2 linked regions of the Neodiprion lecontei genome follow. The main gene of each other region encodes a partner of the protein of the gene in region 2 in a complex. Links are inferred from orthologs where the notes say so. Each region holds a gene or a part of one and is shown on either strand. Other genes may lie near its edges.

Evidence for each region.
Region 1: the proteins of probable inactive tRNA-specific adenosine deaminase-like protein 3 (region 2) and tRNA-specific adenosine deaminase 2 are in contact, whole or in part, in a crystal structure (PDB 9HMM), measured with the Mus musculus proteins. The link is inferred for Neodiprion lecontei from reciprocal best matches to the Homo sapiens genes ADAT3 and ADAT2. Residues at the interface, in NP_001094076.1 of Mus musculus: Val217, Ala218, Pro220, Leu221, His223, Ile229, Asp230, Ala233, Gln236, Gly237, Glu270, Ser272, Pro274, Val276, Val290, Met291, Met294, Ala295, His298, Ala299, Pro311, Asp312, Leu318, Phe319, Val321, Arg324, Asp326, Leu327, Asn328, Pro349; in NP_080024.3 of Mus musculus: Val62, Asn63, Lys66, Asn67, Ala68, Thr69, His71, Met74, Ile77, Leu81, His85, Pro91, Cys107, Ile108, Met109, Ala112, Ala113, Leu116, Met117, Arg130, Phe131, Val137, Leu138, Ile140, Asp144, Leu145, Pro146, Asn147, Thr148.

What each region holds. Positions count from the first base shown.
Region 1 is NC_060264.1:168,749-182,351, forward strand, and holds tRNA-specific adenosine deaminase 2, read right to left. Parts: upstream 5,996-13,603; 5' UTR 5,991-5,995; coding exon 5,469-5,990; 3' UTR 5,129-5,468; downstream 1-5,128. Other genes in the region: 40S ribosomal protein S29, read right to left, coding at 114-122, 694-793, 1,360-1,421; probable tubulin polyglutamylase ttll-15, read left to right, coding at 2,735-2,824, 2,982-4,168, 4,273-4,477, 4,624-4,722; single-strand selective monofunctional uracil DNA glycosylase, read right to left, coding at 6,178-6,288, 6,492-6,641, 6,726-7,433. UniProt on the Homo sapiens protein: Probably participates in deamination of adenosine-34 to inosine in many tRNAs.
Region 2 is NC_060262.1:1,604,179-1,622,318, reverse strand, and holds probable inactive tRNA-specific adenosine deaminase-like protein 3, read right to left. Parts: upstream 12,663-18,140; 5' UTR 12,188-12,662; intron 9,234-12,187; 5' UTR 9,156-9,233; coding exon 7,812-9,155; 3' UTR 7,190-7,811; downstream 1-7,189. Other genes in the region: transcription factor CP2, read right to left, coding at 1,547-2,039, 2,589-2,738; receptor-type tyrosine-protein phosphatase alpha-like, read right to left, coding at 13,232-13,306, 13,423-13,558, 13,637-13,791, 13,882-14,010, 14,311-14,525, 14,610-14,692, 14,775-14,971, 15,042-15,239 and 5 more; uncharacterized protein LOC124293721, read right to left, coding at 16,865-17,059, 17,169-17,461, 17,619-17,700, 17,804-18,045.

The sequences.
Region 1 (13,603 bases), on a different chromosome or scaffold from region 2:
GTGGACAAAATTATTCAATATCAATTCATTTTCTTTCTTATGTTTATATACTTCATATTCAAATGAAAGCTTGTTTATCATACGAATCAGCCCAGCGTTTGAGGTTTGGTGTTTCAGTCCAGCTGCAAAAGATATCAGAAGAAAAAATAGTTTTAAATTTGATCCCCAAAAAGTTACATGTAGAAACGATATTGGTACGCATGTTGCTCAAGTCATTAATGATGCTTTGATAATGCGTTATTGGTTGTTCCAGTACTCAACTCATTAGATGTGAACAAATCAATTTTTGTCACGAGTAATAGTCGATAATAATAATAATAATGTTTTATATCATTATAGCACTGGCAAATTGTGTCAGACTCATGATTACTTGTCGACCTGAACACTTAACGAGTACAATTCAATATACGTTAGACTATTGAAATTAATGGATATACGGTAATCAGATAAGATTAAAGTTTTATGAGAATCCAATAGTGCTTAAAACTATTTTGCAAACGCATAATCAAGTGAGCGATTAGAAATTCAGAATTTTTCATCTTTCGATTGCCGTGCTTCCATTCTCAGATATATTGTTAATGCATTGTACACAAAGGAACATCGAGTAATAAATTAAAAACATTCTGCGGCTGCATTTCTAATAGTTTCTCAGTAATATAATTGTGATACGTTTCTCGTATTAATTAAAATTACCTTCTTGAAGCCAATGTCGGCAGCGTACTCCCTGAAGCATTGACGGCAAATGTTCAGACCGTATTTTCGGATAAGACCGTGCTTGTTGGCACACGCTCGGCTAAAAGACAATGAAAAATATTAATTTCCTCATTCGTCGGATTGAGTAAACAGAAATAAAAATTTAGGAAGGACATATCGTCGATCGGATTCTTTTAGGTTGGAAAAACTTGGAATACATCTGAGAAAGTTTTATCAATAACGTTAGTTCAAAGCGATTTCAGGCTTAACAGCTATGAGATTGCAAAAATCGCGATGGGATAAATATTGCTGAAAAATATCGAGGGAGGAAAATGCGTGCTGAAAATGACGTCATAAACATAACCTATGAAAGATTGATAAAAAAAAAACGTCGCGTTACGTAGCGGTTCGAAGTTTTTTTGAAATTGTCGAGTTATCGTAAGCAGGTCTCCCGAAAATTGTGGGTGTTTTGAACATTGAAAAGTCGCGAGCTGAGCTCGGACCTGAATTGAGCGGAATTTGCATCATTTAGGACATGTGGACGAGAGGTTCGACCACGCTGTGGGAATAACGAGACCTGAGCAGTCCGCGTGGAGTTGTGGAAGGTATCTGGACCCGAATCTTTGGTAAACAGGACCGGGAAAAGACTTCTGGTTAATTACTCACCAAGATCTCGATCCTTGGCCGTATTTACGGGGGTGAGAATACCAAATATTCTGGAAACCCATGTTGCGTTTTGAGGCACCCTTAGCGGAAAAGAAGCAGCGCGAGCTAGAAAGCCGATAGGAAGTTGGCCGGTTGCGAGTGCTACCTGGCGCTGTGTTCGGAAACTAAACTACACGCTAATTTTTTTCAGATTGTCAGCACTGCGGGAATACACTTGGCCTTCGTCAGCTTCAGGGCAATACGCCTGACGGGAGGAGTGACGGCAACCTAGTAAACATCAACCACAGTGCTCAGCAACAACGTCAGCACGCTTCGACCGATCGAAGTTTCGAGATTTCCTCCCAAGTGAGAGTTCCGCGCGGTGCCATTCGCTCTCGAGCAGCGCCAGGTGTACGGCGTGCTTTGTAACCGCGAAACTCGGATCGTCTGTCCCGTGCAATTTGATCGGTAATTTTTTCACCGCGAAACAATCGAACGACGTCACGCGAGCAAATAGCCTAATCGCGTTTTTTAGTGCAGTGTGTGGTGATTATATCGTCAACGACCATATCACGTCTATTTTCAAACTACTTCACGCCGGTAGACCTGCTGATTAGGCATGTCATGTCTCTCAATCACTGTCGACTGTTGCATCGAATTTGGTTTCTGCAAGGTTATTTGCTGTTTACGTGGCCGGAATGTTCGTTGTTTATTTGACGGGTGACAAATTTCTTACACATAACAGGTCCGTAAACTAAAATCAATCGAGTGCTTTGTTCGGTGATTGTTATCGCAGTGAAGTGGGGTGCAATATTGTGAACTTAACATGGATTCCATGCTCATACCTGAACGACCAGAGGATACATCTCCGGCTACCCAAAAGTGTTCGGTGAGTAGTAGAAATTAGTTTCACAAATTTGTATTGCCAAATACTCGTGTATTGTTCCAAACTGTCGTTTCTGCTAAACTAAACGCCTAATCTTAGGCACCTAAATGCCAACCTCGTGCATGCATAGTCAGTTGCCTACAATCAGGCGGCCCACTCTGCGAATTTTCAAACGATCATCATATTCTTGTATTTTTTTGTCTAAAATGATGAAGGTACAGAATATAACGTAAGACGTATGACGAAAAGAAAAAAAAACTTTTCTGAGCGCACGTCACACGCGTCATGTATGCGTGTTCTACGTGCATACATACATACGTAGGTTGAAATCCGGTTCTCCTGCGCAATGCATTCCACGTGCGCAGGTTGTACGAAACGTTATATTGGAGCGGGGCTGAGACTCGAGACACAACGGTACTTCGCGGCGATGCGTATTCTGACGTGATTTTTCAACAACACGGTGTACCACGCACGAAATTTTCTCTACAAACGGGTAAAACCAATATTCTAATGACTGTCAAAAAACGCCTTGTGTCTGCGACCTCTAACGAAGATGAAGAAGTATTTGAGAAGAGCGGGAAAAATTCCGACGGCAAAAAGGTAGGTCATTTTTCAAATTATGCAACGTTACGCACCGTTATGTTTACGTTTACATTCTTGCAATTTCTATTCGAAAGGGCTTGTCATACATTCTTCAGGCGGTGATGGAGTTTAGTCAAAATTGATTGACATTAACAAAAATTGACCCGTTTTTCAGAATGAAGATACTGCGGTCGGTACAACGGTTTTGAATACCAAACTTAGAACGATATTCAAACTATTTATACTCGGTATCGTTGGACCAGTCATTTTATACACTCTCTATCATCTGTCTTCGAGTTTGCAAAAACACTTTGCGAAGATCGAAGTCAAGGAAGTATTGATAAAGGATCGAAAACCGATATACTGGGTCTACGGAAGAAATCCCGACTCCGGGTATTTGAAACACGTTTTCGCATTGCTGGACCGACTCGGATTTGAGAGAGGAACGAACGAGTCGGACTGGGATTTGTTGTGGGCTCACGATTATCCCTTCAGATCGCTTTACTCGAGTCTTAACGCCCTGGCGCCGCACCAGAAGGTGAATCATGTACCGGGGTGCGGTTACATAACGAACAAAGTCGACCTCTCGACGTCGGAGTTGGCGAGGCACTTGCCGGCAGCTTTCAAGATACCAGAAGACAAGAAAGCCTTGCTAAAATACGTGGCCGACAACCCGGCGAAGAGTTTCGTCCAAAAGTCGAACGCACATCGGGGAATCCAGATACTCAATGTCTCGGACATCGATCTGGCATCGGAGGGGTCTTTCGTCCAGGAGTTCATTGAGAATCCTTTTCTGGTTGACGGGTTCAAGTTCGACATCGGCGTCTACACCGTTGTCACTTCCGTCGATCCTCTCAGGGTCTACGTTTACAAGGGTGATATTCTCTTCCGGTTTTGTCCTGTCAAGTACTATCCGTTCGATCCTGAGAACATCGACAAATATGTTGTCGGCGATGATTACTTGCCGATATGGGATGTTCCGTCGCTCAAAAATTACTACGCTAATCTGGGATTCTCCATGAAGGACTCTTTCGACAGTTACGTCAGGGCGCAGGGTAAGGATCCCCAGAAGGTCTGGGATAACGTTAACGATGCGATACGGGACGTCATTCTGAGTAAGGAGTCCCTTATCAAGGACGTCGTAAAACGGTTCAAAAACCAACACAACTTTTTCGAGATGATGCGATTCGATTTCGCAATAGACGATGAGCTCAACGTATTTGTCATGGAGGCCAATATGTCGCCGAATTTATCTTCGGCCCATTATCCGCCTAATCAACTGCTCTACGAACAGGTTTTATTCAACCTTTTCGGACTCGTCGGTATCGGCCAAAGAGTAAGGAAGGAATCGCTAAGAATTAGGTGAATCCTATTTTCGCACAGCTAATTCCAGAATCATAACCGTAGGGTTGAAGGAGAATTTTCGAACCTCAGCAATGACACACACAACGCGATTATTATTTCAGAAATCAGAAGGAAGAGGAAATGCAGGTGGCTGATAAAAATCTGGTCGTACTGCCAGAAGTTTGCGCTAAATGCGACGACTGTTTTCGAGTCGAATGCCAATTGTGTAAACCGTGTTTTACGGATGAGACAAGACACATTTTGTCGACCAGTTATCGCGAGCACCAGAACGCTATGGACTTTCAAAGAATATTCCCACCTCCTATCGTGAGTGACAAACCTGTGATACCTATAGAAAATTAATTGAAAATTGATCGCAGGGTGATTGGTTTTTTTTTTTTTGCTAGTTTGTTTTATTCGAGTATTTACAATGTTAATACCTTTGACATTTTACTATGCACTCTTTTTTTCAGACGAAAACAATGGTCCTCAAGGATTACACATTGAAGAATCAACTACTCGTAAGATGGTATCAAGGTAAATGTGAACTTGATCCCACGTGGTGCGGATAATCGTAAGTTTTCTACATTCTACTATCTTCTATACAGTATAGGTATATACCCTGCCCGAATTTTATGATACATCGATTACGACTGGGAAGATCTGCGAGTTCACGTTTAATGTGTAACGTGGAAAAAGTTAGATCTGAACTCTTGAAAGTTTTCGTTGTAAAAAAAGGTTGGTACAACTTTTAAAACAAAAATGCATACGGTACTCGATCGTACGGTACAAAATCAAAATAGCTTCTTACTCGTAAGAAGTATAAACTTAATTTTTTGGATACTTAGTACTTAAGTAGATACGCAATTTTAAAAGGTAATGTAACATATAAATTATCAAAATAAAAATCTGAAATATTGTAACCAAAATTTTCGTAGTGTTTTCTCTCATCAATTATGTTCCTTTTTTTGTTGCGAATAAGTTTAAAACACCGTCTCTTTTTCATCGTACAGAGCATCTATGCTACTGATATGGACTTACGGGTGATTAATCAGAGTTTGAATACTATTGTGTTAATTTATACCATTACTGCAAATTGAAATGAGATCCGATAAGAAAACGATTGCTACGATAGCACAACCTTATGCATTATTATGCATCGTACACTATTTGCTTATTATTTAATATCCACAGTCTGTACGTTTTCGTTGGAAAAATGGAAAACCTTCATAGCTTTCGATATCTCGTGAAAACAAGACTTGAGGATATGATTAAAAGTTGGCAAACGGTTTTTTAAAATTATAATAAAAGGAAATAATCAACCTACATCGGATTCAACTTTCTTTTTCCGACCTTTTTTAACTTTGGACGCCGGAGCGTTGGGGTTTGTACCTTTGTAAAAGTCTTTAAGTAATTGCATCGCATCGTCACCTCTGACGCTACCGGTAATAGATATTTTGTAATCATAAATTTTCGTCACATCAAACACGCTTTTGCAACCGCCGAACCGATCATTTTGACAACCATAAACGATGCTGCGAATTTTTAGCTGGTGTAGCGCAGCGGCGCACATTATGCATGGCTCAACAGTGACGATAACGTCGATATTCTCAAACACTTTGTGATAATCGATTCCCTTATCTTTGCAATATTCGAGCACATCATCTATGCAGTTTAGCTCGGCATGACGAGTTGCGTTTTTTGTTTCGTTGACAGTGTTGCGACCCGATGCTATTATCTCATTTTCGTAAACGAACAAACACCCAACTGGCACTTCTCCGGCATTCAAAGCCTCGGTAGCCTTTTCCAATGCCACATTCATCCATTCGTTTACGTTCATGTTTGAAAAATAAAAATACGTTATAATAATGACAACAGTAACAGCGAAGTATTATGAAAGAAATGACAAGAATAAAATATTAGTACGGATTATTGCTTAAATCGGAGCGATTGTATATAGAGTCTTGTTTTTGCACTTGTGACTATCACTCGTTGATATTGCACGCTGGATATCTGTAAGTGAAAATTTACTTGGCAAAATATCTCAGTAAATTTAACTCCTGCAATCTCTGCGCAGCCTTCTCACTCCAGTTCTCATTTCCCAGGGACCGGGGACTCGGGTGAGGTATGCACAACACCTGTAAAAACAAAACAACATTAATTACACATTGAAGTACTCATATTGGTAATTAGAGATGTGTAATTGATTGTAAGTAAAATGATCGATCCAGATGAATGACAGAGATCGTTATGTGATCGTTACAAACTTTCATTCTTAAGTATTGAATCTTGAATATTTAAACGAGAATTCATATTAAATAATAGATAAAATGAAATGAACCTGGGTGGGAAGTCCGGCAGTTTTGACGACAGTCTGTGCCCTTTTCTCGGCGAATCTTCCGATGCCGATGACTATCTCGATTCGCAAGAGTTTAATGGTGGCGACGAGTGCCTCGTCGCATCTGTAGTAAAGAGTCTTCTGTTCGAGGCCCTGAAAAATCCAAACAAGAAAGCAAAATTAAACCGAAGTTGGTAAATCCTGAATCGCATCCGATTTTCAACAACAATGAATTGCCTTCAATTCGGCAGGTGTAATGTTCCTTCCTTTGGTGTCCATGAGAGCGATGGGGCAGTAATTGTGAAGATAAGAATGCCTGAAGAAATTTTCAGGCGTTTGGCAAACGTCTTTGAACAGTCCCCAGAACCTTCGCCCACTTATTTCGCTCCTCGTGCAAGCAAATCCGGTCACTTTTCTGTCTGGCTGTTCCCTGACAGGTTTTCCAATGCAGCCCGAGAGCCCAAGCCAGTCTCTGACCATTTTCACCTCCCCGAAGGGGACGCCGGTCTGAGTCATTCCCCAGGGACCCGGGTTCATGCCGAGGAACAGGATCTTCTTAGTCGTCTGGCAGTATTTCCTGACGTACTTAGCGTGGACGTCGAAGGCGTACTCGATCGGGTTGTAGACGTACTCGACTGGCAGCTGGAACTGAATGCACCTCAGCTCCTCGGTGAGTAGCCACTCAAGCGACAGCAGCTTTTCCGGTATCTTCAGGATCGGATGGCTGAGCGGAGGGACAGCTGGGACTATGAAGACACCGCTTTCGTCGAGGGGGGAAATTTTGACGAGGCTTTTATCCCTCTCGACCTCGACTTCCTCTTCCTCCACCTCCTCGTCGTCTTCGTCGTCGTATTCATCCTCAGCCATTTTTTCCGGCACCTTTTTTAGACTCAGATCCAACGGCAGATCGTCATATTCGATTTTCGCACGCTTAGACGATGTCATTACGTTTTTTGCGTCTCTCCCGGTTTTTTTCAATTCAATATTGCTTTTGACCCTTCTCGGTCACGCTTGAAAACGATATCGATACTCTTAACGCGTCTGCGATACGCCCAGCACCTAATTCGTGGGTGACAGTCCCTCGGTTTATTGACATTTCAATCCGCATTTCGTGTATTTGTAAATACCAGTTCGACTGTGAATTCTTTTTTCATTTTGATACTGACTGTACCTATCTACCTATATCTATACGTATGCCTACCCAGTAACCTATCCGACGCAGCTTAACCGCAGGCTGCACGAACTTGAACGGTTCTGCGATCGGTTGGTACGAATCGAGGTACGAATTAGATGTTTATTTTATCTTGTATCTCGTATTGTTTGCTCTTGAAGTCTTTTTGCTTTCAGTACGAAATTCGAATATTTGATATTCGTCTGATGCTTTTAACCGCCAAATCACCTGACCAAATACGTTCGTTCCTGCAGTGTTCATCTAGCCAATTTCTATCGTATAGGCGTCAAACAATGTATTAAATTCGATATGAAATGCGTTCGAAATCCTAGAACGCAGCTGTCGATTATAAGAAAATTTCATTCTGCGAATCGCTGCACTTTTACCATTCATGCTTGCCAATCTACGAATGACATATAAACGTTGTCACGTGCTTCATACCGCAATAATGTTTATTCTACTTTACTCGCCGCGAATTTATTTCGCGAGATTTGTTAATCTAGCATAGATGCCTAGAAATTATAGGGGTATAGCAGTTGTGAAAATGAAATTTTTGCTACTACTTACCCTGATTTTTTACGGATTTCACCGACAACACATTCGCAACAGCCTCGACGACGAGTTGCAAACGCAACGAACTCGACGATCAGCTGATCGTGTGTCTCCAGCCATATTTAATTTCAGAGCCGACGGCCGCTTTGGAAGCGGGAATCTTTAAACACATGTTATCGTTCAGCCGTAATAGCCGACGAAACACAAGTGTGAATAGTTCTGACAGTGAGGAGTGAATTTATTCGGGAATTAAATTAAATGCGTGTCAATGTGGAATGTATAAACTTGAATCGACATGGAGTAAATTATGATAAAATACCGACTTCTCAATCACCCAAAGAACACAGCTTGAATATGCGCGATGCCGACGAATTACACGCGCAGGCAGTAGATTTTTCTAGTACTATAAGCGGAAAGATCACTCGTTCACGATGTAAATTTTACGAGTTGTTGGTTTACCTGGAAGAGGCGGTGACCTGATTTTAATGGTCATTTGAAAACAATTTGTTATTTACGATCTTACGAAGAAACGAGCGACTGACTTTATCAGTGTCCAGGTAAAACGATTCACGATAAAATAAAAAAAATAAAATAAAAAAACCCAAGCGTTGAAAAGGTATATAAGAGAGCCGGAATTCTCTCAACATGTTTACTCGGTGTCAAAATGTCTTTCAAAGTGAATATCATCGTTTTTCTCGCTGTCGTCATTGCGATGTCAACTACATTCGCCAGGGCATCTTCGCTTCGCGAAACGAAGACTCGTCATTCACGTTTCATCGATATCGGTTCGTCGGATCTTTGACTTTCTTTGCTTTCAATAATACTTGGTCATTTGGTAAATTTTTTTTTTTTTCCATTATCTCACCAATGCTCACTACGGAGGAAATTATTTTGTTAAAAAAATATGCGCTGTCAATTGTTGGCTGTCTTTTTCGCCGAGTCTTTTTCGCCAAGTACGATTCGGATAGCAATAACGGAAAATCATATTAAAACGCATTAAACGATTATCCGGAATTTCGTTGTAAAATTTTACATCACAACAGCGTTTTTTGCACCATACTCTATGATTTATCATTCTTAGTGAACGCCCTGTTTCCTCCTGTATGCACGGGATGTCCGATGCGTTTCTGTGATAACGATCCGGCGATAAATCTTGGATACTGTTGCGGGTGTCGACGAACATACGGTAAGCACGAATAAATAGGAACAGACGTATGATCGCCAAGTTTTCGCCTCCTCCGATCTTCATTCCTGTCCTTAGATATAATATATGACCTTTTCACTTCGTAAACATATACTTGCAGAGTTATTGGATTCTTATTAAACGGTCGAAAATGTATTTCCTGAATCTGTGATTCTTGTTAATCCAGTTTAGGCGTCATTTTTATCCACAGAAGAAAAAGAATCCGATTTTTTTCATTCCAGACATTCTGCCTGTGCTCTGTATTCCGGCCACTTATTGTCCTGGCCCCAACTTCATGCACGACGTGTGCAGAGATTACGAGTACATGATGCACTGTTGCTGTTGAGAAAAAAATTGACAACGATTGAGATGAAAATAACATAATAATTAAGAAAAAATATGACGTCATAGAGGTAAAGAATTTCAAGAGCAAAAAAAAGTAAATAAAAATAAACAAATAAATGAAATCGAAACGTCTTCAACAAAGAAGGATACACAAGAGGACCTTTCATTTCAGACGATCGACTTATTTTTTTCCTTGTAATCGATAAATCATGACCGTGACTGATATAATAAATGTGTACGTTATGCATCGTGTGCACATAATGCAATTATCGACTGAATTTCGAGAATTATAATTTGACGGAATATTTTATTATCAACGTGTGTCTGCATAGTGAGAATATTTATCTTACCGACAATAATTACGTAATTATTTACGTGAAATTTAACAAACATCACTTTTTTAATTAACTTTTTAACACGCCTACAACCTACGTACATGTTTCGCTGATTTATTCGTGACTGTATGAAAGTATTCTTACACGTACGCCATGATCAAGCGGCCATGCATGATAAAACAAAATACTTATATTATTGTACACATAAGTAGATGAAAATACGTAACAGCAAATCCCATCGGCACAAGGTATACACAGCGTACAGGCATCGTATTATATGTATAAATGGGCGATGTTCCCGCGTGTCTAACATAAATGCACATACTAATATTTCTTCATAAGGCTTCATCCTCGCGAGGATTCATCGCCTTTTTACGCTCCAGACACATTTCTATTATCTACCTATATACGATCTATAACTCCGCAGTATAATTGTAACGACCTATGCTTGGCTGTAATACATGAAATACGCTATTCTCGTCCTTTTTGTAGTATAGAATGTGTATTTGTTATAAAAAGAAAACAAAGTTTTCCAAGCATCGGGGAAACGAACCAATTAGAAATATATGATTGATCATTTTAGAAAGCCAGAGCATAAAAAAGTTGTCGCATTTAAAATTTTTGAAAGATAACCGTTGATAAGTGTATGTATGAAGTAACGGTAAAAATTATTGAATTACAACACTTATCATTCTATCTTTGCTTCTGCAGTTCTTGTTGTTGCTTTTAAGAAAGCTGAAGATAAAAAAAAAAAAATTTAAAAACACCACTTCTCACAATTACGGAACAAATGACGTATCGTATGCAATAAATGTGATCATCGTCAACGCATCTATGTATAAATTTATGTACGGGCATATAAGGCATACCTGTATGCATGTACCGATAGAATTCTGAATCGGAGTTAAGGTACGGCAGAGTCGTGTTACACACGTCGTGTAAGTGCGTTCATACATAGGTATGTACGTACATACGTACGTATGGATGTAAATTTTGAATATGGGGTGTGACGCGACGAATACATACGTCGTATAAGTGAACCATGCAAAGGGCTTGGCCAGGTGTGCCCTACATAAATAAAATACTGGTCGGCATGCTGTCGCAGCATCTGTAAGGTACGCATGTTACAAATGCCCGTTCAATATGTAACAACTTAAAATTTTTCATGCTCATTCCGTTGCTCTTCCTCTTTTCTGTTTATCAGATTTACTTTGAGAAAAATTTTGTTCAATTTTTATTAGTCCTCTCCTTTGTCCGCAATTTGCCGGCGTTTGGTACCTATCGTCACGTGGGCACATGGGTGACAATTTTCTTTACGTTTACACTCGGCGCCCGGTAAGCTGTAGGAACGAAATCAGAAGTGACGGCGACGGTACGAGATAACCGTGACGGGATGCACGTACTGCGTGTATGTACAGATGTGTATTTGAACGTGTTTGAAAGGTATCGGTTAATACCGTAGACTCTCCAGACTGCAGCCGTTATGCGGGCTACGGTTAATCGATGATTTACTTTCGTTTGACGCACTTACCACGTGTACGAAAATTATCGCACTACTTAATCGGTGAAAAATTGTTCAAATTTTAATTAACTTTCTCCGAAATTTATATGTTTCTCGGACGTTGAACTCCGCTTAAAATTCCAATTAATACGCGACGATAAGACGGAGCGATTTTTAAAATTGTCAGTCAAATCGATATGCAAGTCGTTGCGTAAAATTTTTATTCTTATTCTGGTTCGTTGGCCTTTCTTTCTTGCTCTCTCTTTCCGTGCTTCCATACATTTGAATTACCACCCGTTATCGCCTCTACACTTTTGCTGCACGTCAAAATTTGTTCCAACAAAATATGCATATATTAGGTACCTACATTCGACATCACTCGCAGTATCTTCGTACACACACACACACACACACACACACACACACACACATATATATATCGGTACAGAAAAAAAAAAATAAACAAGTAAATTATTACATACTATATACATACGATTATTTCGTAATTTTACCAATCATCTAAAAGAAAATTTTGTTCCTGTTTCTTCTCGAGGTGATAAAAATTGGCAATTTCATTTTCTACGAATCTGAGCGTGTAATAAATTTAAACTATGTTACACCGATGTAAAATCGTCATTCTCTCGAATCATTATACTTTATACGATTCAGCTGTTTATAAACAGCGGTTTGAAATAAAACAAGGATCTCCGTAGGATCAATACCGACATGCCGCTATGAGTTTCATGCTTTGAAGGACCCCCTTCACACATACTCGCAAAACGTCATCCCGCATCTATATGCATCTGTGCGTGTATGCGCGTGTGTATACACGTAAAATATGTGCGTGTATTATATGACGGCGGTCCTGCGCCGTGGAGAACTGCGCACTTGCAGAAGCCGTTGCTGAAATACGATTGTCAGTCTTATCCAAACAAATAATAAAGAACAAGAACAAAAAGAAAAAAAAGAAAAACCAGATTCGACACTCATATCCAAAGAGATTCCTTTCGATGCCCTTCGATCCATTTATTGTTTCGAAATACACATTTTCTTCCAAATTTTATCCGATGCTTATGTTGTAACGCAATTTCAATTCGATCCAATCACAATTCCGTCTTTGTCAATTAATATATAGAAAAAAAATTGAAACAAATTGATTTTCGAAACGTGCGATGAGTCTTCTAGTGCGATTCGAATCGTTGGGTCATGAAAATGCATTTGTTTTAATATGGTTTAACATTTTTCTCCGTTTACTGGGATATGCGCATACAACTAATGAAATAATTTTGTGCGTTTTTGTAATGCCCGAAACGAATTCGTTTTTGAATTTTTAAATTCAGGCATACGTCGCGTTTGTTCTGGCGGAGTTTGCAAATTTGTAAATTATCCGATATTTATCTTGTATTTAATTTAGCAAGTTGTAAATTTATTGCGTACTTCTTCGCTAATTTTACCACGCGGTAGTCGCACATTGCGAATTTATCAAATTTGTACAATCGTCAGTTACATAATTCGAAGTTTTTCCTAAAAAACAAGAATAAAAAAGCATCACAAAAATTGCATCTCTTTTTTTTTTTTTTTTTTGTTTTCTATATTTCATCTTGAATATTTGGAGGAAACCGACCGTAGCTTGCGAATAGTTTTATCTTAATTTGAAAAATCCAATCATCTCGACGTGGATCCATCTCGCAATAAGATTACCCGCACAATAGCTGATGAATAATTAACTTTGAACCCGCCAATAAACGGACCATTTCTATATTTTCGCCACAAGTTTCTTTTTTTGTTTCGTCAGTGCCTCAATTGTGAGTCACGTGGAATTCGAGCGGGCGTTGGAGAAAAAAAAAAAAAGAAAAAAAAACAGGAAAAAAGGGACAGCGAAAGGGAAATACCGAAGGAAACATCGGGCAGGAGAGTACCGGCTGTCGTTTTCGGGTTCGCCAACGGATCCTGAGATCACATGACACAATACATTTACAGGCGGCACAGCCTGGCCTCCAGGTACACACGCATGTGCAGCCGTTACCT
Region 2 (18,140 bases):
AAAATTCTTTGCAAACTATCGAAATGACAAGCGTCTGCAAATTTTTACAAGTATTCAAACAGCTGTGTGTATAATTATATATAATAAAATATAATTCGCGAAATTTCTGAACATTGCGCAGAGTTTAAAAAAAATTTTGGCAAATTTTAAATTCTCGTTTTACTACCTTTTGTTTTTTAATTGCGCGTGGAATTTACATTTATCTTATGTTTGGATTTCATTTTTTTCGAAAATCTTGTCACGTGTAGAAAAAAATAAATAAATAAATAAATAAAAATAGAAAACAATGTAAAATGTCATTACACAGGTATTTGAGATTAATAATTTGACGTTAAAGGATATGCAACTACGTAAATACATAAATACGCAAGGATTCGTGTGCTCGTGTCAACGTAAATGTTAACGTACGAGTTGCCGGATATGCGTAAGAGGACCGAGAGTGTTTGATCGTTAAACGCGTGCCTGCGAGTCGAAAGGAAGTCGACAATTTTAGGGACTGACTCGTCTTCTTTTGTACAACGTTGGTCACGTCTACTTTACAGATTATACCTACGTACGACTTGTGCAACGCGTTTATACACGCGTACGCGTCTCTTACGTTCATTACTTACACTTACTTGACAACTTGCTTAATTTCTTAGATGCTAAGTTGCTTCCTACGTCGAGTCATCACCCATTCTTCCATACAATCCAATATTGCACGCTTATACGCACGTATATGTATATATATATATGTATATATATATATATACATACATATATATGAATTTTTTGAGATTCACAAATTGATTCGCGAATGTTTTTTTTTTAGCAGTTGAAAATTTCTACTACTATGCTTGCATTGCGTATAATATTTGAGTACATATTGGTACATCAGTTATCCAGCAGTAGCATCAACGGCAAATAGCAAGTAGCAAAATGCGACATAGATCGCGTGGGTTTAGAAGACTAGGATGTATGTATGTATGTATGTATATATATATATATGTATACTCTACATTGTACGTTATGGCTTTTTGCGTATAACGTACATGCATTGGTACATTAGAGAGAGAGAGACGCACCCGCAGATATATGCATACATATGTGTATACATATATCGTGTGGCGCTCATTGTTAGTCATGATCAGGAAATTGTCGATTGACCTCCGCGTGTTGTTAGTACACTGCATACCTATAATATATATATATATATATATACGTATAAGTGTATGTTACGACGACGTCGACGACGACGCTATTCTGACTATTGCGCATCATTTATTATTATTATTATTATTATAATACTACATATTTATTTATCGTCAGGGTTTCTATTCGTTGTTAAAATAATACCGTATAACAATTGTCGAAGATCGATGGATGAGCGTGATTATACTTCGGTTGAATTATATATATATGAGAAAGTTTGTTTTTTTTTCACAATCGTGATGCATATTTTTCGAAAGTTGAAGAGGGAGAGAGAGAGTGATCAATTATAACAGATGGTGAATAAAGAAGGGAGATGAGAGTAAAAGTATTTGTATTATACATTGATAATACTTACTGTCTTTTTTTACCAATTTATGTTCGATATGTTCACCGATTTGTTGAATGTTATCGACCGAACGACGTTTCAATGAATTTTCTTGCAGTACGATCTGTTGTTTCTGATGATGATGATGATGATTACGATTGTTGTTGTTGTTGTTGTTGCTGTTTGGGTGGGAGGATACGTTGTTGTCGTTATTCACGTGCCGCTGTTGTTGTTGCAACGGTCCAGATTGTTGATGAAATTCACGGGGCGACGAACTGCTCGAACGAATTATTATCAATCCGGATCCGGCGGTTGGATCCGCCGTCGGTGACGATGACGATGCTGACGATGACGACGACGACGACGACGACGACGACGACGACGATGTTGCGACCCCGGCTGCTGTCACTGCTGCTGATACTGTTTGTTCGGATGGAATTGGTGAATAACTTGGCGATTCGGTTTTATCCTCCCAATTTATCATAGCCGGACTGTTGTAACCATTAGATCGTTGAAGTCCCGTCTGTACGGTGGGAAAAATAAAATGATCAGATAATGAAAAGATGTAAGTAAGGATATGTCCGATTATCAATTCGTTGCTTACGAATTATCATTGAAATTGATGTTTTTTTTTGCAACATTGTGACGCGTATAATGGTGTAAAGAATATTAAGGTCACGTAACAGTCCTACCCTTACCGACCGAGTAAACTCACCCTTTCACTTTCTATATCGAATAACCATATGAACGGAAAGGGTTAAAAATTTTACGGTTAATAGCTGTTTATAATAGTTACGTCAATTATAATAATCGATGCAGAGCGACGAACCATTGTAATTTGAACACCTTTCCGATCATTTGTTTATTTAATACAGGAAGAAAAAGATGTGAGTTTGCTCGGTCGGTACGGGTGCTACGTGTCCTTAAATTGTGAATGTAAAATAATTTGGAAATCTATACGACTTAAACGTTGTTTTTGATTGAATTCGATTTTGAAATTTTTTTTTTTTTATTTGAATTTGATATCAAGAGGTAGTATTTTTCTTTTTTTTAAATATTTTTTTTCTATTACCTGCTGTACGGTGATCGTTCCGGCTATACTTTCGTGACTCGGTGATTGTAGATCATGATCTTCGTCGTACGGTGGCGATGATGAATTTTCGAGCCACATCTCGTCGTTAAGTGTACCGACGCCACCGTCCAGAATCAGGTGTAACTCCATTCGAATGATTTGGCGTTTCGTTTTTCCCGATTCCTTTTTTTTTTTTTTTCCCCTCTCTTGACGCTCTGCGGATTTACTAATTCTTTCGAATTTTTTTCAACGAATCTTTGATGTTTTATTTCCCACTCTCTCTCACTCTCTCTCTCTCTCTCTCACTTGTCTCTCTTCCTTATTTCTTGTTTCAAGTTGAAAAACGAGACGGGGAGAAACGACGAGGAAAGATAAATTTTTAAAACTATAAGCACTTTGCGACGTTTATTCAAAAAATTATTCAAACGGTCGGACGATTTTTGGTGAACGGTATGTGAAATTGATTAGCTTCGGTGGGAATTTAAATTTTTTACAACGCTGTTTCATCAGGGTTTAACAATTTTTTTAACAAAATTTTTAGATTTGTGATGATTACGTACGGTTTTCTATTCTTCCTCTGTGTATCGCTTTTTAATATCGCATTAATATATTATGGAAAATTTTCATACTTTTCAATGGTCGCGTAAATTGAGGATTGTTTTTTTTTTTTTGTTTCGTTTTTTCTTTTCTTTTTTTTTATTTTCAAGCAATTCTTGCTCGGTATTTTTTCATCTATCGCCGACGTCGCTTGATATTCGATTTTCTCTTCTCCTTGCCGTATGGAAATCTTTCTCTCTATCGATCAATTCTATACACGCTTTTACTTTGTCTCCTTTTGTTATTACTAGTTTCAGCTTTACTTTGTTTTTTTTTTTCCACTAAATAAGCAGCCTGCGCTTTAAAATTATTCCGCACGCTCTAAGGCTCTACTTCTTTGTTTTATCTTCTTTCTCCTTATCTTTCTCTTCTAACACCAATATGTACTCGGGTTTCTTTCTATAAAGGATCTTTTTTTTTCTACCTACGCGCAGTATGAACTTTATTGTTTCTGCTTGTGTATGTTTGCGTGTGTATGACGTGACTATTTGTGAGTTAGTGTGTTTCGCGCTACAATTTCTTCTTCTTCTTCTTCTTCTTCTGCTATCTATTTTCTTTTTTTTTTTATTTCTTCTGACCTTCGATTTCGCAAAACGTCCTTAGAACATTACGAAGAAACTGTTGTACAACTTTTTGATACCCGTTGTTTCGCGTTGACGGTGGGTTTCTAGCAGTGCGCAGCCCCGCGATGTCGAGGCCAGGAAACGGGCAAAAACGCTGAACACGTCCTCGAAAACCATCGCAACACCCAGGCTTCTTCGCATTTTCATGCTAGAAATTCGAGTTGTTGTTGATATCAATATTATCAATATCGATTTACTTATCTGACCTAGTATTTTTCCTTTTTTTCTTTCGACGAGTCTGGTTTTTTCTGTTAAAAACACTTCTAGTTCTTAGGTTTTTTATACGTTCGTCTATTCTTCACTGTTCTTGAAAAAATGATTTCTTTTTTTATGTTTTTATCCGGTTCGCGTTTTATCACAATTAATCATAAACGTATTCAAACCTTTCGATTTCGGCGATAGGGTAATAATAATAATAATAATTATTGTCGTTATTCACTACAGTTGAATATAATTTCACTCTTATGCTATTGATGTGAATGTTAATTTATTTTTTTACTTTTCCCCAAAGATATTATAAATTATAAATATTCTTCCGTTATACGTTCACTCCTTTTAGCGTGTACGACGTTGTTCTCCTCTTCTTTATTTCCGGGCAGGATTTCGTCTTCTCGTTACGGTTTTCCGACGATCGAGCTTTTCCTCGAAAACTTGCGAAAAATTTTCTACTTCTCTATTTATCTCTCTCCTCTCTCAATTGTTTTTTTTTTCCGCTGGGTTTTTCTATTCTTTCAATCTCCTTCTTTTTTCGATCTTTGCTTTTTCACTTGTTTAACAATTATCGTCTGGATATTTTATCAAGGCAGGGATTACACGCTGTATCTATTTTGACAAAATTATCTACATATGCATAAGTATATATACGATTTACTATATGGCTCACACACAAGAGAGTGTCTGGATCACTTGAGGCCTTCGCCTTTCTCCTGTCACCACATTTTCAGAATTTTCAGCTCCATGGCGATTGGATAATGATGAATTTAGTTTTTCAGCTAGAACGCGGATTGCACAACGCGCTTTTCAGCCTTTTTTCCTGCTGTTTATAAATTCCCTCTGAATTCTGACGGTGAAATTTTTGCTCCACGCTTCGCGGTCGCGTTTCTTTCTTTTATTTTTATCCTTGGATCCTATCCGATTTATTTCCAATCGTTGTTACATTCTCTTCTTACTCGACGTCTCTTAACGTTTGCGTGAAACGAATTTCAATCCCGAAATAATACGTGGAATTTTTTTTTTTTTTTATTTCAAAATTTACTTTTTATTACAACTATTTAATGCAAGTTAATCTCTCTCTTTCTCTCTTTCTCCCTCTCTCTTTCTCTCTCTGTGTGTAAACCGGCAACACGACGATGCAAAAGGAGGAGGAGGACGACGACGATGTACTAGATCAGAGACGGAATATGATGAGAGAGTCGCTCGGGAATCTCTTGCCGCGCAGCATCGGCTACTTTTACCGTCGACCAATCGGCGTTATTCTCCTTTCGACGGCTCGTCCAATCGGGCAACTCCTTTCGAAAATCCAATCCGCGGCGACGGCTCACGGAGTTTGCTACGCTTGCTTGCTATTTGACTCTTATTTTTTCAATTTATATCACTTAGCGTTAATGCCTAAAACGACGGACGACGACGACGACGATGACGATGGCAGCACAGCGAGACGAGAAATAAGACGTGTCTAATTTGTATTTATTACAATATTATACGTGTATGTATGCATGTGTATGTATGCGTGTATTAATTTGTTTCGACGCTAATTTTTTTTTTTTTTTTTTATGCGTTCAAAAATGTTTTTAACATGAATTTAATTGCACTCGCGTGTGTGTAACAATATTGAAAATATTCGAGGAACTCGCGGATTTTTACGTCGATTGAGAAAATATTGTCGTTTTATTTATTATTTTTTTTTTTTTTTTTATTAGAAACTTCTCCTTTTTCTTTTACTCTTTGATCAAATTTTGTTTGCCACTTTGTCGTACTTCTTCGATTTTGGTTTATCTATTTTTTTTTTTTTCCCTTTCCTTTTTCACATCAGCGAGACGAGTAGCGAGCCGCACGTTTGTCAATCAACGAATGACACAGAAACTTATATATGTATTATATATATATATATGTATGTATGCGAAGGTATAATAATACGCGTTATTATACTGCAGAGATAACTTATCTCTCTAAATTAGCGACGATTTTTTTTATCCATTTGTCGTTTATACAACCCAGTCTCTTTATAAATTTGTGCGAATTTTTATTCTTATTACTATTATTATTGTGTTTTTTTTACGTCTTTTTCTCCTTCACGAGAAGCGAAGTGAGGAGAAAAAAAAAAAATGCAATCTTGAAATCTCGTCTTGTGTATAGTCTCACTAAGATGGGACGACTCACTACTGATTCTCTTTGTTTCACGACGACGGTAGCAATTGGTAGCGATTGTTCTGTTCTTTCTTACGTTTTTTCCTTCTTCTCTTCGTCTTCTTCTTCTTGTCCTTTGATTGTGCTCCCTTAACGACGCAATGTGCACGCTGAAACATAAGAGGGGGGAAAAAAAAAAAAGAAAAAAAAAAGAAAGAAATTTTGCGTGATTAAATGTGAGAATAAAAACGATACGAGGACAATAAAATTTAATATAACTCTAATTAAGAATTATTAATTATATTTTATTGTTAATTGGAGCAGTTCGTAGATTTTTTATTTTCTAGGAAGAGTGAGGGAGTAATGAGAATTGATGTATTTATATAGAACATGGAAATCGATGGAGAACGTATTTTCGAACATAGGGTTTGTCGTTTATGATTATTATTTGCTTAGTTTTGGGTTTTTTTTTTTTTTTTTTTTTTTTTACTAAGAGCGTATAATGATTTTGAAAAATTCCACGAGATCGTTATTGCTTATTCTCTTTGCCGCATACGCGGGCAGGCGATGCGATGGCTATAGTCGTATGAAACGTATGGGACGTTGCGTGCCGCATGGCGGGTACGTTAAATATTTTGCAGATTGATGTCAATTCGACGGGTCAGTGATTACGGAACGCTAACCACTCTTCTGTACTCCTTATAAATATGCCAAAATGCTTCCCAGCGTGGCAAGAAGAATCAGACGAATGCGAACGTCGGAGAGAGAGAATGTATGAGTGTAATGGAAACGAAAAACTACGTTGAAAATTAGAAATAAAAAGCGATGGAAATACGATGTATGGAAAAATGGGGGATTGAAACACAAATCAAAACTTATTTTGTGTTATTATTGATTGTTGAGGTTATTCAACATATTCACACGTTTCGCGATTATTGTTGGTATGAAATGTGATCGCGGTGAAAAAAAAAAGAATTAACAAGCCCTTAAAAATATACGAGACAGCGGTGTTTTTTTTTTTTGTGTCGCAAAATTAGTTTACGCGCGTTATTGAAAATATGATGTGAATTTATACTTTTTTACACTTTGTTGAGGAGGAAATTAACGAAATGCTATTAAATATTCGACCGAGTTCTTGGATTGAGGGAACGTTGAGAAAAATGACGAAATCTTAACATCAACTTTAGGCAGGTTTATACGTGAGAATTAACAAGATATTTGCGTGACAATTAAAGAGGTATTTTTGTCGTTTCTATTATACGATTGAATATTATTATGCTTGTGGGAATGTTAGGTGTATATAGATGTGTACGTATATATATTGTTCATAAACAAGGCGTGAGGAAATTTTTTTAGAAACATTTAATTGTCCAGTTAATTAATCTCGCAATATACATTTAACAAGGACAATAGCATGGCGTATAGTATTATATTTAGGTAGGCAGAAGAAGATTGATAAAAAAATGATAATAATAATAATAACAACGATCGTTAAATAATTGTATCAGGTAAATGCATAATGATTAGGCAGCAACAATTAAACAGATCACATCTTGATCACGTACGCGTGTATTCATATGTATAATTATGCAGGTGAAATGATGATAATAATGATAATAGTAAGAATAATAACAATCACTATAACAACGGTCAATCGTCATTTGACGGAACGTTTTTCAATATCGGCGCAAACTTGACGGCATTCGTTTTCCAAAATACCGGACCAAACTTGATAACGATGATTAAGCCCGTTCGTCGTGTGAAGCATAGCCTTGCTCCCTAGTACCCCGTGACCCTCGGCCTTGACACCATAAAATATTTTCGCTGCCCTCGAGTGGAGGAGGGCCATCGCGCAAAGAGCGCAAGGTTCGCGGACCATGAATATCCAGTAATTTGTGCAAAGGTAGGGTCCTGTTTTATCGGCTTCCGGTTGAAGCGGCTCCGCGGCAGGTAGTTTAACGTCATCGAGCTCCGGGGGATACCGATATGCCGTCGAGGCGCTGCGGTCGAATTTCCGCTTGCCGCCGGTGGCGCCGCCGTCTTTTTCTCTTACCGAATCCTCAGCTATCGAAGAAGATTTTCTTCCGATCCAGGCACCGCCACCCTGGCTTTTAGCCACCAAGTCAATCGCCAACATGGCCGCGTGCCAGAGCGGATGCTCGTTTATACGGGCGGCTGCCAGAGCCACCGATTCTCCGGTCAACGGATCGACGATCAACGCGCTTCCGGCGCAGTCGGTATTACCGACCGAGGATCGACGGGCCGCTTCGATCGCGGCCAGCATTAAAAGTTCCATTCGACTCAGTTGGTAATCGTTGAATATTTCACCGGATATTATAGCCTCGGTTCCTGGATCTGGGTGGAAATTTAACGGCCATATTTTACTGCAAACTTCGGCCTGACGTCGCGTTCGCGCAGCTCTAGCGGGGACTTTGATAATCTCGAAATTTTCCTCCAGTAACGATACGTCGAAACCCTTTGATTGCAAATCGTTTCGCATAACGGTTGGCGATCGGGTCGTGTTTCGATTTTCTTCCGTTATTGAAGAAGGGGGTTTTTCAGCATCTTTGGTCACGGTTTCTGGTTGGTTTTTAACGTTGTTCTCCAACACTTTGCCAATTGAATGGGTCTCTGTTAAATTCTTGACGTTTAATGTCGTATGATGGAGTTGGGAAGGTTTTACATGCACTGGTTCCAAAAGTAGACGGAAACCGTTGCAACGTTTCAAATGACCGAAACCAGGCGATGACGACGATATTTGCTTTATTGCTTTCGACGTTGTACGTTTGTCTTTTAATATTCCTACGTAGACAGTTTCTAGGGGTATTTCTTCGGTTAACGATAGTCCCAGTACCGCTTGCGGTCGCCAAGAACGATTACGCTTTTTTGTTGGACTCGTTAATGAGCTTGACGACGATTTGTAACGATGTTGACGGTGCTGATGGTGATGATCCTGATCGTCGTTGTTCGTTTTTGCTGATTTTGGCTCCCGCGACGTCATACCAACGATGATGATAATGACGATGACAATGATGATGATGATGATGATGATGACGGTCTTCTTGCATCCGATATTTCCCTGAAAATATCTTCAATTCACTTTTACGTATTGCGGATGATGACGTTTTATTTATTTATTTATTTTTGTTTCTCAATTTTAAATTCCGTTTAATTGAAAGTTTTTACTAATTTAGTTTTAGCGAGTTATATAATTCGTGGCATTTTTTTGTTTGTTCGTTTGTTCTTCTTTTCTTGTCTTGAATAAAAAATGCGTTGATTTTATTTATTCAGGCGTGAAATTGTCAATTGATACATTGAGAATGAAGAATTAATTAATTTTAATTCTTGATTGATTCGACGAGGAAATTTAGTTTTCTTCGACTTGAGAAAGCAATTATTAACTGACCAGTTGAGAAGGGAGAATAATTGATGATTGAAAAAAATCACTCATTACTTTTACGAAGAATATATAAATCACTGATTTTATCAAAATTGAGGAGATTTTTATTTAATTCTGTGTAATCACTACGGCAACATGAAATTATTTTTACAATTTTGTAGAAGTAACGAATAATAACATTTCTCTTGAGACGAATAAACTTGCAAGTAGAATAGAACCGAATTATTCTATTGTAGAATTTTATGAAAAATCATGTGTTTATGAGCGGTTTTGAGAAATATTTACCTCGCTCTATCATACTATACATTGACAATAGACATTTTTATTATTAGAATAGCGGAGGAAAAAGGAAAATTGAAATGCAACTGCTGTGCTTATCGGAATTATTATATCGATATAGTTATGCATAGAAAATGGACGTAGTGATAATTCTTGAGAGTGCCTGCACGCGTTGGTATACATACATATATATATATATATATATATATATACACACACATATATATAGACATATGTGCACAATGTACGTGTATTGTGCTCTTGAGCATCGTCTAACCGAGGTGGAGCGCAATTACGTTTAACTAACGCAAATGATACGACCGTGGCCTGACTTGACAGCAATTTATAATTTGCCCCTTCGCAGGCATCGCAACATCTCGCAAATCGTCGCGCGAATAAAGACGATTTCCAGCCCCCGCAACGTTCTGCGAATATATAATATGCCTTCTGGATACAAAGACGCGCGTCTTGCTGTCTCGCACGGAAAAAAACAACAACGACGATAATAAATATGATAATAATAATGATAATCATAAGAAACGTTCAATTTGCGCTACAATTCGAGCACGTCTTTTTTTCGGTGCTTCTTTTTGATCATTTCTTTTTTTCTCTCTCTCTCTTCATTCAATTCTGATTAGTGGAATTAATCTTCGATTTTAGCATACGAAACAAAAAGGAAAAAAAGAAAAGGAATGGTTAGTAATTTGGAAAAAAACTCGCTGAAGTGAAAGTAAATTTATTTCTTTCCCTCGCGTTCTTTTCGCAGAGACGAAATGAAGGCATATAATTTATATATGTATTTTATTTGTCAAATATATGTGGGAGTACATGATATTTAGATTGAAATTTCTTTATCGCGTATAAATAAATCGTTCATTATCACAGCTGATTCGTTTATTCGAATAAATTGGAACAGACAAAAATGCAGCACGCATCATCGATGATCTTCTGCAGAGTTCAAGTTCGTGTATGTATACATATATTGTTACATTGTTATGTTACATCCCAATTTTCAAATTGTCATACGTATGTAAGTACATAGGATACATCGTACCGCGGATGTAGTTTATATCAGTTCAGCATGAGATTTTGTATGTATAGGTATACGTATACACACGTATAATATAACTTTTGTATATATATTATATACACACTTGGAATCAGTTGCGTTATACAATCTGACAGTAATCACGAGATAACAATGTACGATTGTAGTCGGAACGTTTCGTTTTCACGTATATACGACCAAGCCTATATAATCATTCTCTCTGTTTTTTTACAACGCGTTAATAATAATCATAATAATAGTAATAATACGTTTAAGCTCCGATTTTGAAACATATAGCGCGATAGCGCGACGCAAGTAATCGTTGTTGTTGTATTAATTCTTACATATTGTATTGTTGCTGAGTTGATTACATTAAGGTATTTAAAAAGAAAAAAAAAATAATGTTAAAAATCTAACGGAGTATTAAAATTTGTTAATTTTTTTTTTACGAAACGCGCGCTTCGTTCAACTGTTGCTCCGTGGCGTTTGAATATAGGCGGGAAAAGTGGCGAGGATGACGTGATAAAGCGTCGCGTAATGGCCGTCTCTCCGTTTAGTACTATACCTATACCGGTAGGGAATTTATCGAGCTTACGTAACTCGTGGCGAATGGGATCAAGTTTGTTACACTGCGTGCAGTTGGTTATGTTGTGTGTACCGCAATTGCTTTACGCACGAACATATGCGAGATGAGTATGTGTAGGTTTTGTGGTCGTTGGCGTTCGATGTTCCTATAATCCAGTATGAGATTCGATATGGAAACGAGATAATAAATATATGGGAAAATTAATAATACGGGAAGTTTGGTGTGTATGAATAATTGTGAATTAGGGTGAATTGATCTGTTATATCGTATCAGGATGAAAAAATAATTGGGGAAATCGATGTGAAATTGTGACGGAAATCTGATGATTTTATACTGTATAGATTTTTATATATAATATAATTTTGCTGATTGTAGATGAATATTGTTTGTTTGTTTAACAATCGAAAATCGATCTAGCATTTACCGAGTTCAATAATCCAGATATAAACGGCTTTTGTTTATTGTAACGGATTATACGCAAATGGATCATCATCACCATCATCATCATCGTCATTATCGTCATGGTCATTGTAATAATTATCAGTATCACAACGTATACCTTATTGTAAACAATACCGTTTCAAGACATTGGATTCATATTAATTATAGGTGCGAAGATGAAATTTTTATCTATTTGCAACGTGTTGGGTTTATATTATTGTTGTCAGTGGGATGTTGGATATTATTTTATGGCTAGAGAATTGAAATGAAAACACGTACTGTTGAATGTTTTTGACTTCCTTCCTGCACGAGTCGAGTTTCTTGCAATTTGTTTGTCCGGTCTTGAGGTTGTCTTTGCGTTGTCGTTGTGTTGTTGTTGTTGTTGTTGTTGTTTCTTCTTCTTCTTCTTCTTCTTTTTTCTATTGTTATTATTATTTCTTTTTCTACAATTCTTTTACTGCTGCTAGCGTAATTCAGCACGAGCGTATGTTGCTGAGTTTTTACACGTACTTGTATACGTATTATATTCAATGATAGAGGGACATGTGTGTATCAACACACATGTGACGAATAATTATTTTCCGAATTATGTGCAAACGTGTTGCAGAGATGAAGATGAACGTTTCACCGTCAAACCGTCAACCTGAAACGCACCAGGTACTTTGGTTTTGGTTTTTATATCGACTGAGAGATACTGTTTTAACGTGGTTTCAACGCGAAAACGTTCAAACACGGGTCATTCGAGTCTCTGGTAGATGGTCGTCTCCCGGCACGCAACGCGCAAACGGGCTATGACTAACTTGGCACGTTTACAACGTGCCGCGAGCCCTGACGGGAAAACCGATAGTCGATAAGACGTCTAACTATTCCGACGAGTCAGAGCTAACTCGAGATGAGGCATTATTTAATTGCGATAGCACGATTAAGATTAGTTGACGTGTTTATTGCTTTGCGTAAAAGTTTGGTTTCAAATGTGGGTAGATTGATTAGTTTGTTCTTACGAATATGGATTTTATTACGGTATACATGTGGCATGTGTGATATTACAGTTGAAGATTGGAAAAAATTTTGAAATAATTTCATCGACTAGGATATTGGAACAAATGAGGATTGTGTGATGATTGAATAGAAATATATAATTGTATAATAAATGGGGTCACTTTCATGGGATTTGAGCGACGAATTGTCACGTTCATCGTGGAGAGAACAGTTAAAGACGTTGGGTTTATATTATTGTTGACGACATGCGGAAGACGTTTGGAAAACGATTCGTCGATGTTTGAATTTGAGTGACAATTGAAACTATTTTGTAGGGATTATTAATTAAGTGAAATTCGCGTAGGATTCGAAATATTTTGTGTAGGCTAACGCTGCGTCGTACAAGTACTGGAATTCCTTCTGAAAGTAAAAACATGAATAGTATAGGGATCAAATGGAACTCCGGTTTGGAATTGTTTTTACGGAAATTGAATTGAAGTTCTTATCGCAGAGTAGTTGCTTTATATCACACTTACGTCGGATCGGACAAACTCAGGTCTGGACCTGCGAACAGTTCGAACGGCGGAAATAACGTCGCATACTCGTTCGACTGCCATTCGTTGGAGGAGGAAACTCATCGCCAGGTAAAGGCCACAGCCGGTAATGCCGTCTCTGAAACGCGGGGCGTGAAATTAGCGGAGGTCAGAGAATTTGGAAGACTCTGTCGAGCATCGATCGAACGTTACCCACCGGCAGAGAACCAAGGTCTGCCCTTTGTCGCGCTTGATAGTTTCCGACGTTCTCCAAATCGAGAGCAACGTGGCGGGTGCCGGTGGCTTTTCGTTTTTATCGCTTTCCCAGCCGACGCAAGTGAGTATCGTCAAGGCACGAGGACTCGATTCTTCCTGAACGGAGACGGTGTCAAAAGACGGGTTTTTGAAAAAAAGGATCCATTCGTTTTGTCATTTACCACATTTCGTCGTCTATGGACTTACCGCCAACGTGTCGGTTACCAGCAGCTCGAGTTTCACGTAAGATTCGTCGACGAACCGCGTTTTCGTTTCCACTCGTATGTCCGGAGCGAATCCGGCTGTCATCTTATTGGGTATTATGTCGCAGTGAATCTGTTGAGCACATTTTGGTAGTACGATTATTGAAGCGAAGAATCGGTTGGACCTAGGTGAAAGCTGCGTTGCTTCGAATTCTGCATTGTTGGTGTCTGAATTACATGCAAGATCATTCGTTCGTCGACCTTTCACGCGAAAATTCAAAACAACTGAACCAAAGTTTTCACTTTACTTGTTTCTAGGCTGAAACTTGATCGTCTTATTCTATTTTTCATTGAGATTTATGCAGACTCTTTGAAAAAGACACTCTGAAAAGTCAATCCAGCACTCGCAGTAAAATTTATGAGTATTACTCACGGAGTTCTTGGGATCTGCAGGCTGCAATACGATAACTAGTTTCACACCATCCTCGATAATGAAACGCCAGAATTCCGATAGGGTGAGGGGCGAAGGTAACGGGGATGCCAGGTATTCCCTTTTCATACCGAGGCCGTCGACGCTGACCGCGTTTGTGTAATTGCACGGATTTTTCAACTCCAAATACAAGCCGTTTTCATTCCCTTTTCGACTTTCTGTAATTCGTAAGGTTATCACCAAGATTCTCAATGATTCTCATGCAGGGCTTTGAATGATTTGTTAATTTGAAATATTCCGACCTGCCGTCAACTCGTTGGAAGTCGAAGGTTCGGATTCATCGCCGAAGAAGAGTGCCTGCTCCTGCCATTCGGAGTCATCGAGCCTGTGGACACAGGTACAATCTTATCACGGAACGGCCGAATTTCTCGACGTGTATTGACACGGAAGCTTTCGAGTTCGCTTACCGTTTCACGTCGGCCGGCAACCTTTTTTTCATTTCCTCCACACTCTGCGAAAAGGCGTCGTTGCATTCCACGGACGTCGACGGTTCCGAAATACTTTCCGCAAGAACGACGTGAGCCAGGTTGTATTGCTGCTGAGTGCTCACCATCATCGCGCGGCTCTTCCGCATCCGTTGAGTGACCCCGGCTACGTCGATCATCTGCGAGAACGGTCTTGATTCATTGCTCCCGAAGAGTTACAACGCTGTCGTGGATTATTTTATTACTCACGTTCACAACGGCCGCTTCGCGGATGCAAATGTCGCACAACATGACAACGCCAGTGCGACCGTCTCCGGTGGAGCAGTGAACCAGGACTGGTCCGTTACCGGGCGGTGTTTTCATCAGTTTTTTCAAATACTGGACCAGGGGTTGCGGGTCTTTCGGCACTCCCTGACTCGGCCATCCCGTGTAGTGAAGGTGCGTCACCTGTTACAAGAGCTGAAGATTAATGGGATCGCTTCGATCAATGCTCGGTACGCGGGAAAAATCGCAAGAAAATTGATCAACTGTACCGAACACTACGATAAAGGCACGAGGAGTGCGGAAAAACGGAAAGTGGCGTGCAATCCCAAATCCATTTCAATTCATCGCCTTACCTTCCGCGTATTCCTTTCGTGGATGAGATGGAAGGTTCTGAAAGTATAATTCGCGTACACCTGGTGCTCTACGTTCGCAACAACGACATCGCCGTATTCTGTCTTGGTCCTCACGTCTGGCCAGTACTGCTCACACATCCTCTGCAACGTTTAACGAAGTTTCAGAGAATTCTCTTCATTTCAATAAGAGATTGTAATATCTCTGAACCGAATCTTCTTTTCTACCTTATCGCCTTCCACAACGTTCGTCAGCATGCATATCACCCTCACATCGTTTTGCCAAATCATTCTCCAGAAATCGTTGACCGTATTCGGCATCGGTCCCTGTGCCGCGATGTAGGCCCTCTTGCCGTATCCCTGTTCGGGTGAATACCAGTTTTCGTGAATAAATATCGCATGCTACGGCGGTTGTACCACGTTATTAAGAATCAACGGTACGTCGAAATGCTTTTACCTGAATGTGACTGGCGTTGATGTAATCGGAGTAAGGATCCTCGAGGATTCGGTTGAGGACAACTCGCGTCTCGTCATCTGTAAATGTGATTACAAGCAGTAAGAAAGAAATCCTAACGATTTTTTGAGAAACTCAGAGTTGATCCATTGCGGAAAATGCAGTTATTCATCTTCAGACCGTTAAATCTCTGTTCAAGCAGCATTGACATTACATACATGGTATTTGGTTCACGCATCTGTTCTTTGGCATGTTTTCAGGTAACTTTCCATACTCGCACCTTTTCGTTGTCCCCTTAGGAAGATTCTGTTGGGCAGAAATCGTATTGAAGGTTAACAGATGTGTAGTTTTTCGACAAATTTGGCAGATGCGGAGAAATATGATGATCCGGTTTCACGCAGTCAAGGCCTACCATTTTGATAATACCAATTTCTTACCGTAAATTGCGAATACAGTCCTCCACTGGTAGCCATGTATTTGGCGTACTCTTGGAAGTGCGGTACGCTTATGTAGTTTGAAAGCAGCTCACTCGGTACAGCGTACTCGTGCATCACATCATATCTCTCTGAAATGTCGGACGGATCTGATGATTCCTCCAGACTATGGAAAGTCATCGAGACATTCGTACTTGTCGTTTCTTTCATTGGCGGTATGATGTACTCACCGCAGTTGTCCACGGATGAGAGTTTCTTCTGATTTCTGTATAATTAAGTTCATTTATTCTACAAATAAGAAGCCCAAATGGCACAGTAACTTGGTGAACTTGTCTAAGAGATGACGATGCTTCAAATTTGTTGGTACATAGTTTGAACGCTTATTCGATTTGAAAAATTTGCGACTTCGCTGCATCGCATTTTATGGAAGCATGCAGGTTCAGCATTCGTCTGCTAAACGTGATATGGTCCAGTATGAATACGTGATTTCAAAACGTAATCAGCAAAGCAAGTTCTTTGTTTGGGTGAAATATTGGATATTGTCGCCGGAGAAATAATATTCACTAATAGTCACAGATTGTTGATGAACTCTATATACTCTTTTCGCGACCCCCGTTGACCACGCTTGGTGTCGTCTTCCGAGATTAAAATCTGTATTACACCTGCCGTGCTGATTACATTGGGCTGATCAAACACTGCCACGGAAATGTTGGCATGAAGCACTTGCTTACCGGTAATAAGCAAACAGCAGTAACGGAAGAATCGCTATGATTGGAAAAATAATGACATAAAGTAAATATTGTTTCCAAGGACGTCGTTCAGGAACAGCAGCTTGAAAATCCGAGGAATTTTCTTTCGAGATGAACAACTGTACTGCATTTTCCATAATGCTTATGTTGCGCTGATTGAACGCTACCAAGGAAATGTTGTAGCTCCCTGATTTTGACAGGTAGAACTCCGTGGTGTACTCTTTGCGATTCGGCTCGACAGGAATTTCCCTGACAATGGGAATTTGGTGGGTTAATTTATCAAGTTGACGTCGATCCAGAGGACTAACGCGGACGGCGAATCGCGTGATTTTCGCGCCACTCGATAACGGCTGCTTCCATTTCAGGCTCACGTTACCGCGATTTTGCGTCACCGTGAAATTCACTCGCCAACTGAGATCTGGGGACACGAAGGATGGTTCAATTCATTACATTTGTTAACCTCGCGGTTAACTTTTATCTTATGAATAGGTAAACTGGTTTTCATTACAGAAATCATACGAGGCTACTTTAATGTAATCAGAAAATAATCCTTTAGCGTGGCTACGTAAACTAACTTGATTTGCACGATTCTTCCAGCGAGAAGGTGATGTTACTCCGGATATCAAATCGATCAAGCTTCTTGCCCATCGCGTGAATCTGTGAATGAATTGTATTTGGCGTCAAATAATGATAATCTATCGATAAGGGCATTTTACTCTAACTGAGTGCAATTTGTCTATAGGTGTGTCGACGCACGCACCGTTATGTTGACCTTAGCGTTCGAAGGTAGGGATACATCTTTTAAGCATGTGTGATCATCCGACAAATCACAGATCTGTTCTTTCGTATTACCAAAAGTCATATTTTTGGGGAGCTCGTTTCCTTCGGCGATGGACACTTCGTAGGATTCGATTCGGTCGTGAAGAAGGACTGACGGAATAAATCGCAAGGAGATGGTGCTTCTGTCGCAGTCGGCATCGTACGCTTCCAATTCTGTCACATCTTGAACATAGCAACTCGTTAATGTAGTTTGCGTTGCGCAGAGTTATCAAACTGTTCGAATGACGTGTAAGTTTTCGAGACGGTAAATGTCATTG